2 linked regions of the Schizosaccharomyces pombe genome follow. The protein of the gene in region 1 interacts with the protein of each later gene in a biochemical or structural test. Each region holds a gene or a part of one and is shown on either strand. Other genes may lie near its edges. The genes, in order: sro1 and pka1.

Region 1 (4,164 bases):
CGATACATATCGGCTGATTATCAAAGCTAAAACGCGTCAATAAATAGAATTCTTTCAAAAGACACGCACATTTCAGTAACAGTCATCCAAAAAGCTGAAATATCAAAGTTGAGACTCGGAGGTTTTAAAAGAAAGTTTTATTAAGGGTTTAAATTATTCTTTAAGCGGCTTGAAATTTGAGAGCACTAGCAATAATGAAGGAAATGGCGGGTAAACAGTAATAGAAGACGCAACTTTGAAGGTTTTGGGCTTTGCCAAGAAATTTTATACTAACAGGAGGAACAACAATCGTACCAATTTTTTAAAAAAATACCTTAAACCAATGGAAATTGGTCACTAACAGCTATTAGTTAAAGCAATTGGGAATTGTCTAAAGAAAGTAGCATGCTTGACAAGAAACTTAGCAGTATTAAGCTTCGTTATGTATCACTATACCCTGCAATTATCATACATAAGTTGTTTCATTCAATAGGCTTTTTGAATGAAAACCATATAAAGAAATTACGACAACCCTTTCGATTGAATTTGTTTCTTCAGTTGAATTGTAGTATATGCTTAATAATGGTTATGTTTACATCTTGGTTAGACCCATCATAAAGCCGCTCGTACTCGTAATTGTTGTTGAATGGATTGTAAAGAAGACTGTACAAAATTCACTGCATTTTTAACGTGTTTTCGAAATAACTAATCAAACTATCAAAAAGATAACGTATCAACACTAAACCGCACTACTTTATAAATTGCACATCGGGTTGCTTCTTAGCTAGACGGAAAGACAATGCTGACCTTGTCTTCATAATTGTTTACAATCTTCCACCATTCATCTACTCATTAATCAGTAGTAATGTATTAAAATAAACAATTTCTATTTTTTAATTATACAAACAATTTCCTATTCTGAATCTAAATGTAACAGTTGTATCGCATTTGGCATTTCTTTTTTGTAATCCAGCAACCGAAAATTCAATCAAATCAATGTGACCATGGCGAATTGGATATAAAATAACAAAGATTAAGGTGGAAACTTCAACTTTATCAGCGACTATCATTATAGTCAACAAGTAGACAAACTAATAATATAAAGACTAACAAGTCTTGGGGGTATAAACTAATAATACATATGTCTTGCCTCATTTAAAAATGGTAAAAGCAAGGAACCGTTCACGGCTTATATCGATAAACATTCTAAAGCAGGGGAACCAATGTGTTGAAACTGGTAATAAAAAGAGGGATGGGGGTGGTAAAAGAATTCCAATAATCGAAATTCCTTAGAAAAATAAAAATAAAATCCATGTCTTAACAATTACATCAAGAAGAGTAAAAAAAAAAGAAAAGCGAAAATAACGAATTAAAAAAGATTGCATTGTTAGATTGTTTAATGCTTTTATCGAATAAGATAAAACATTCAATTTTCCAATTTTTTGTTTTCCCTTTTTATTATTTTCTTCTGATCATAACGGAAATCGGGTTTTCTTCTTGTATACAATATTCGGGTTTAAGCGCTTACTTCCCAATCAAATGCACCCTTTCTTTGCTCAGCTCCCCAATTAGGAGAGTTCAAGTCATCTCTGACAGTTTGAACGTAAAAGGAAAGAGGTTGCTCTTGGTCGTTACAGCTCATAGCCGACTCAGAGTTAATGCCGATATCGGTGGTTTGATCAGCAACATTGGATGCGGTAAAAGACCAACCATTCTTAGTACCGTCAACACGGGAAGCAACACTAGTAGAGAAGGAAAATCTTGAAGCCGTTGCCTTTAAAGAGGTAGCGGCTAAAAGAGACTTGGAGATGACACCTTGTTTAAGAATAGAAAACATAGCGATGAATCAAAAATGTTTATTGATGAAATTAAAAAGAAAAGAAAATAACAGTGATTAAATAGAAATGTGTAGAATAGAAGTATCACCGTTCGCAGATTTAATTATCGAGACGTCAGCGAAGAAAGAAAAAAAAAATTTTCTTAACTAATTAAACCAACGAATAAAAAATTTTTTTTCTGAAGATGACCGTGTTGATCAAACCAATATTCTTTATTGTTCACTAAAAAGAATATCAAAAGAAGTATTTAGTAGTAGCTAAAATGTATTAACTTTTTACTTTAGAATGTCTCGCAATTGACTTTGATTAGACACTGTTTAGGTGGGACGCAACAATTGTTGGATGGCGAGGTCTCTTAGATGGAAGCCCGCATTTATATAGTTTTAGACTATTTATTTGCCTTTTCCTTTGTGACGAATTCAGATAGCTTTCCTTACTGATAAGAATGCGATACCCGTTCCATACGGCGCAACGTTAAAATAGGCGACTAGCAGTGTAAAGTCCGATACCTAGACGAAAGCAATCGTAAGCTAAAGGTGTCGACAGTACCTCAGTTTGGCTGGCTATCTTAGTATTGCTTACAAGCCCATCATACCATATGAAAGTAAGCTTACGTTCGTTTGATTAATAAACAATGTGATGTCAAAAGCTGTAACGGCCGTTCTTGTATGAGAGAGAAGCTAGCAGAACAAAAAAGGGAGACTTCGCACATTGAATTCAAACAGTTGACATCACAAATGAAAAGAGCGACTGTGTTTAATAAGCGTTTCAAATATTCCATTGGGATTTACTAAGGATTAGGATTTAGAAGAAAGGTTTAACAAAGGGTTGAAAGTTTCATGATAGCAAAGTGTGTCGCATGTAAACAAAAGAACATTCATTTGAAATCATAGCTATATCCATTAGCTAGCTAATTAATTAGTAAGTTGGTTAGTAATTTAAATAATTAATTTTCATCATAATGTATAGAAAAACAACGTAAAATTCAGGGAACTATTTCTAAGTCATCCTCATCATCACTCTCAGTAAATTCATATCGGAATTTGATATTTTTTAGGGAGCCGGATCGTGAAAGTCCAGTCGCTGTGGAGTGCGTTGTAGATGCATCTGCGGAATGCGTTGGATCGAAACCTATTTTTCGTAGACTTTGGGGGGAAAAAATCCTCGGCGAAGAGGTAAACACTACCGCTGGGGAAACTTTGGTGGATGTAGTATCTTGTGGAACGGGTGTCCCTGATGCCGCATCGTTAGTGCCGAGAATAGCAGAGTTAGAAAAAGATGGTAGAGAGGATTTAGGGTTCATTATAGATGCATTAAAAGAGGCCAGAACGGATGGTTTTTTCGTCGATGAATCAATTTCGCTATCTTTAGAAAGAGCAGTGGGATTACCCTTGTCATGTAAATTTTTAACGCCGGAACCTTGTAAATTTAGATACTGATGGCCGAGTGTTCGCATCGACATTCCCGTAGAGAGGTTATTCGAGTTAGAGCTAGACGAAGAGGAAGCGCAACATCGCTTCGATAATCGCACCAAAATTTCACGCTCGCGTTCAGCCTGCGCTCGTTGTTTTTTGTATCGTTCCTTGCGCTCCCTCTCGGTCTGAACGGCGTCTTCTGCATCATACAAACCAGCTACTGCGTTAGGAATTGCGGAATACTTTTCCCCAGCAAAGTATCCTTGGAACCCTTGTCCACGAAATCGCTTTTCACGTCGTGCGCGAGGCTCGTGCATAGTCGCCATACTTGAAGCAAACTCCGTTCGCGTAGACATGGACCGCTGGACAGCGAGGTCAACGTGATATTCACATACATCTCCGGCACGCTTGTCGAGCCAATGTTTACATAGTTCACCGCTTTTTCTTCGGCTGGAACAATAGCCAAGGTGTTTGGAGCGACCAATCTCTAAAAGTACATCGTACTCAGAATCCAGCTTCAGAGAAAAGCGTCCAATGTCTGGGTTCTTTGGCTTTAGTACTTCAGGATTGAGAAGCGCAATGACAGTACCACTCTGGATCTTCCAGTATCGTTCAAACGCCTTTCCAAACAGGAAGCACTCCAGTTGCCATTTCAAGTCAGTCAGTGTTAGCATACAATATTTATTCCCATTCACAGTTTCTCTGGTTCCACTATTACTGGCAACAATGCCCATAACTACATAGTTGTCAACTTCTGGCGCTTCAAATTTAGGAGCTCTTACTAGTTTGAGTAGTTGGTGAATGAGATAAACTTGATTTCCCCCTATATTTTCCTTAGCAACCTCATCACTTATGTATCGAATAACAATGGCTTGTCTTGAATAAGGATCGATTTCATCACATTTCATAGGAAATTTCTCCTCTTCACTTTT
Region 2 (4,666 bases), 3.7 Mb from region 1:
AAACCAAAACGCAGGCGAATCCGCTGATGAGAAAATGTCTGTCGTTCCTTTAAAAAAATATTCCCACGTGTTTGTTTATGATGGAACAGTACATGCTAACCAAAGCGATTTACCGATTTTGCTCCCTCGCATGGTACTAAGGGTATTGAAAGGAAAATTTGAAGCAGACCCTTATGAAGCTTTACGCATTAATACTCGTTCATCTGTACAATTCCTTCGTGAAAATCATGTTGAAAATGTTCAGGGAGATAATGATCCTTCGTCGTTGCAAACAAATATTATTCCTGGGTGGGAAAGAATTATGTAGTATTTACCACTTTTACAAAGAGCTAAAAACTCTTAAAAACAAAACTCTTTTGACTTTTCTTGTCTTTTTATCTATCGCCGATGCTAATTATAATATTTATTGACTGTCATGCTAATGAGTTAACTGTTTGGCACAAATTTCTTATAGCTTATAAAGAAGATTTTCGAAAGCTTACCTGTTAATGTGGATTGAATATGGTAACTATTACTTTTTGGGAGCCTGTGCTTAGGACCGCGATGATTAAGGACGAACATTTACGCTAAGTGTGTGATTTTGAAAAATTTAGACTAATATTTATAATTTGTAATATGTCTTATATACTGATAGATTCTTTTATCATTTTACATTATTATTTATTCAACAAAATAATTTACCAACCAATTACGAATGAAACCACCATTAATTATAGATACAAGGAAATTCAATGATTATTAGCGGATATATGTATCTAGTTGTTGCACAGTTTCAACAAACAATGCTCTTTTGTCTGTTCAACATGAAGAAGAAATGACTTGGGGTTTAACATAACCATAAAAAAACAGAATATATAAATAAAATGGAGTGGAAATACATCAGAGCAGGCTAATTGCCTGGAAAAACATCAAAATAAATAGCTTCAACTGAGATCATCATATCCCATCCAAACATAAAGTCGGTCCATTACACCAGCACAAAAAACTGAAGCCAATATTGGTGAATTGCAAAATCAGTGCTACAAACGTCACTTGCATTGCACTAAATCAAATAGGCATTCGTTGCTCAACGCTTTAAGGCAATAGTACAATGAATCAATAAGCATTCGAGTATCTTAAAACAAAACAAACGTGGCACAAAACATCAAAAGTCCTTAAAGATAGAAGTAAATTCAGGATCTTCAGATGTTCCATAATCCGTAGCTACATCAGCATAAGCGTCAAATTGACTGGAATCACCCATTCCAGCTTGAATGGGAGGAACATACGGAACCTCAATTTTCCGAGTAAGGATCTTGTCCCAGCTGATATCACGGAACCAAGGGTGCATAATAATATCCATGCTACCATCTTTCAAATTTCCATAGCGGCAGGTTATGTCTCGCTGAAGTAAATGGCTCAACAAATCAATACTAGCAGGAGAAAAGTACGATGGATAGTTGACCTTGCCTTCAAGGATATTCTCATACAACTTCATTGGATTCTCAGAGTAAAATGGAGGATAACCCGCAAGCATTTCAAAGATAAGAATACCAAGGGACCACCAATCTGCAGCTTTGTTGTACGGTTTTAAAGATATGATTTCCGGGGCTAAATAATCGGGGGTACCACAAAGAGTACAACAGTTGCTAGTAGAGACGCGTTTGGCAAAACCAAAGTCCACAATTTTCAAATGACCAAACCGGTCAAGAAGAAGATTTTCGGGTTTTAAATCTCGATATACGATTTGATTGTGGTGAAGATAATCAAGAGCAAGGATCACTTCTGCTGCATAAAATTTGGCAACTTTTTCGGGAAATCGATGACATTTACGAAGCAAAGAAAAAAGCTCTCCTCCTTCAGCAAAATCCATGACCATAAACAGATTTTTGGCATCTTGGAAAGTACCCCATAGAATGGTAATGAACGGGTGTTGGACACGGGATAAAATGTATCTCTCATCGCAAGTGTGCTCTATTTGCTTCATATCAACGATTTTTTTCTTTTCTAAAACCTTGATGGCGTAATACAGGCGATTGTGATTCGACTGAACGAGATGAACTCGACCAAACGAGCCAGTGCCCAATGTTTGTAAGAAATTGAAATCTTGTATTCCATATCGATCTTTTGTGGTGTGGTCAGCAGGACGAATCCTTCGACGCTGTAAATCGAGCAGCTGACTAACCCGAACTTTACGAATATGGCGATCGCGTAGCCCATCCATAGCTGACCGTCTCTCTCCGTGTTCTGAACCTAGTTCACCACGACCGTCCCGCGAATGTCTTTGATGGCTGCTTTGGCTACTACTTCTACTCGCGCTTTCAGGAAGAGGTGAAGGGATCAAATTATCGATGTTTTGGTAACCAACAGAATGGGCACTTGCACAGCCAGACGTACTGGTGCTAACCAAGCTGTCGGGTTTTTTGCTTTTCGTGGCCTCTTCCAAAGCTTTAGGGATGCCCGAAGTCCACAGACTTGATTCATTATGGTTATTATGACCATTGCTTACACTTGCATCACTACCAACAGAATCATGAACAGAGGGTTTGCCATTAAAAGAATTTGTTCCATGTCGCTGCTGTTCCGAATATTCATTAACGCTGCCGGCATTCATAGATGGATGCAAAGAGGCACTTGTAGATAGAGTGTCAGTTGAAGAACCCACGTTAGTACTTCCTTTGGAAGCAACGGCAGTCGTATCCATGAGTACAAATGTGAAATAGCGTTTATACACGAAAAGATAATTAAAATTCACTAATCGTTCGTCAAACTTATAAAGTACCCGAAAACAAGAATAAGGTTAAAAGAGGTCGAGGCAAAAAGGTCGTTACCTTTGAACAACCTTCGAATATATGTATATAAACCGCAACAATAGCAGTAATCTTAGAGTTCTTTTTTGGTGCGCTGCTTATTATAGCGAAGCAAAAATAAATAAAGAATCAGCGTAGATAGAAAGAGCGAAATTTACTTCCTCTAAATAATTTATTAAAATAAAGAGGACAGCGGCAGAAAAGAAACTATTTTAAGTGAAATTCCAGTCGCTCAACACAAGTAAAAACCCAACAAGAATAAAGACAAATAATACTCGTTTGCTCAATCAATCCGGGCAAACGAAATCCTTCAAAGTAAAATTGGAAGCAACTTAATGTCTAACAAACTGTTATTCCAAAAGTACAAATGAACACGAACGATAATTCGATACACCTGAGACAAAAAATAAGAAGATAAGCTAAATCGACTCTGAGTCCTTCAAAGATAATCTATAGCAGACAAAAATAGATAACAATAGTTATAGCAAGCGTTCAAAAATACAAATTAACATAAACCGACGTTACAGATTCACGGTTTTCACAACAATACTGAGCCTTTCACTCTTAGCGCAGAACCAAAGGTGTATTAAGTAAAACTACAAGTCTTTTTGATACAGAAAGCTTTTGTAGAATTAGCGGCTTTCGAGAAACGAGCTATTCACACTTCCTATGCGTTCGCAAGCTTCAATTTGTGTTTTGCTAACGAAAGAAGTGTTGTGTCATAGGATGCAAGGTTGAAGTCATGCCCTTACTACCCCTCAAAAACGAAGGAATTTTTAATGAGGCGAATAATCGTACGTAAATTATAATAGGGGAATTTAATGTAGATCGTTACAAAACTTCAGCATCTCAGTGCATGTCGGATTTAAAGACTTCTATTTAAATTTTAAGATTGAATTCGTCAGGTGGATTTAGATGGTTTAATACAGTGTATTAATTATCGGGTGTAATTCATTAAATTATAATATTTGGAACCGTTACTCGAAAGTCATAGATTCGAACATCAAGAACTTATGTAAACAGCATACAACGATATAGTGTTAGTTAGTAGCTCGAAGTGTCATGCTTAAATCAATTAATTAACGAAAGGAGGGAAAAGATATAGAAAAAGGATAAAAAAGCTAATCTATTTTCAACGGCGCCTTGAGACAGGCGGTATTACCCCTTGAAGAACCATGGGTGCTTAGTAGTTGTCGCAATAATATTCTTTTTACTTTGCCCAGTGAAATAGTTTGAGCATCAGTATTCCAATTAACAATTTATTATTAACTTCGATTTCCTTTTAACAAACCATTATTTGAAGATAGCTATTAATCATGATCGTGAAAAAAGTGTTGCATTGGATATGCCACCTTGTATATTAATTGAGACATTAAGGTATTTATACAAGTCGTTAATTTTAAGGGGTTCTATTTTTTTAAACTTCAATTTTCCTTTTGAAGGATTGATATGATGGAAAAGATTTTTGGAAACCATTCAGCCCATTAGCATATCATATAATTAATAAACGTAGTTCATAATTATACAGATTCTTCATTATGATTATGAGAATACACATACTCCCATACTCTCAAACTCAAATCTTCTACCAAATCACGAGAAAGGAAAAGATATTGACGGGAGTGAAACTTATTCAAGAGCACACCAGTCCAACAAGACTCAAAAAATTGTAACAGTATTTGCAAACTTAATAAACGGTCTCTAGTTAAATTATCAAAGTCCATAGACAGGAGTAATTTAACGCCTAGAGAAGTTTTATTATTTGATTCTTGTAACGATGCAACGTTTAAGGGGCTATTCGAGCTTTGGAACAACCTGCTTGTTTTTACCAAGTTCCAAAGTGGGCTTGAGGTATCTTTAAGCTTAGGGAATAGATT

The links.
Region 2: of the proteins of sro1 (region 1) and pka1, one has a biochemical effect on the other in vitro, tested with the Schizosaccharomyces pombe proteins (one study listed by BioGRID).

Annotation. Positions count from the first base shown.
Region 1 is NC_003423.3:4,079,859-4,084,022, reverse strand, and holds sro1 (protein sro1), read right to left. Parts: upstream 2,165-4,164; 5' UTR 1,817-2,164; coding exon 1,496-1,816; coding exon of another isoform or gene 1,379-1,495; 3' UTR 825-1,378; downstream 1-824. Other genes in the region: centractin family actin-like protein Arp1, read right to left, coding at 1-26, 70-86; SPOM_SPBC1347.14C (uncharacterized protein), read left to right, coding at 1,379-1,744; cdc23 (MCM-associated protein Mcm10), read right to left, coding at 2,803-4,164. UniProt on the Schizosaccharomyces pombe protein: Stress-responsive protein that may play a role in regulation of cell cycle.
Region 2 is NC_003423.3:395,009-399,674, reverse strand, and holds pka1 (cAMP-dependent protein kinase catalytic subunit Pka1), read right to left. Parts: upstream 2,684-4,666; coding exon 1,145-2,683; 3' UTR 718-1,144; downstream 1-717. Other genes in the region: plg7 (1-alkyl-2-acetylglycerophosphocholine esterase), read left to right, coding at 1-307; cut4 (anaphase-promoting complex platform subcomplex scaffold subunit Apc1), read right to left, coding at 4,310-4,666.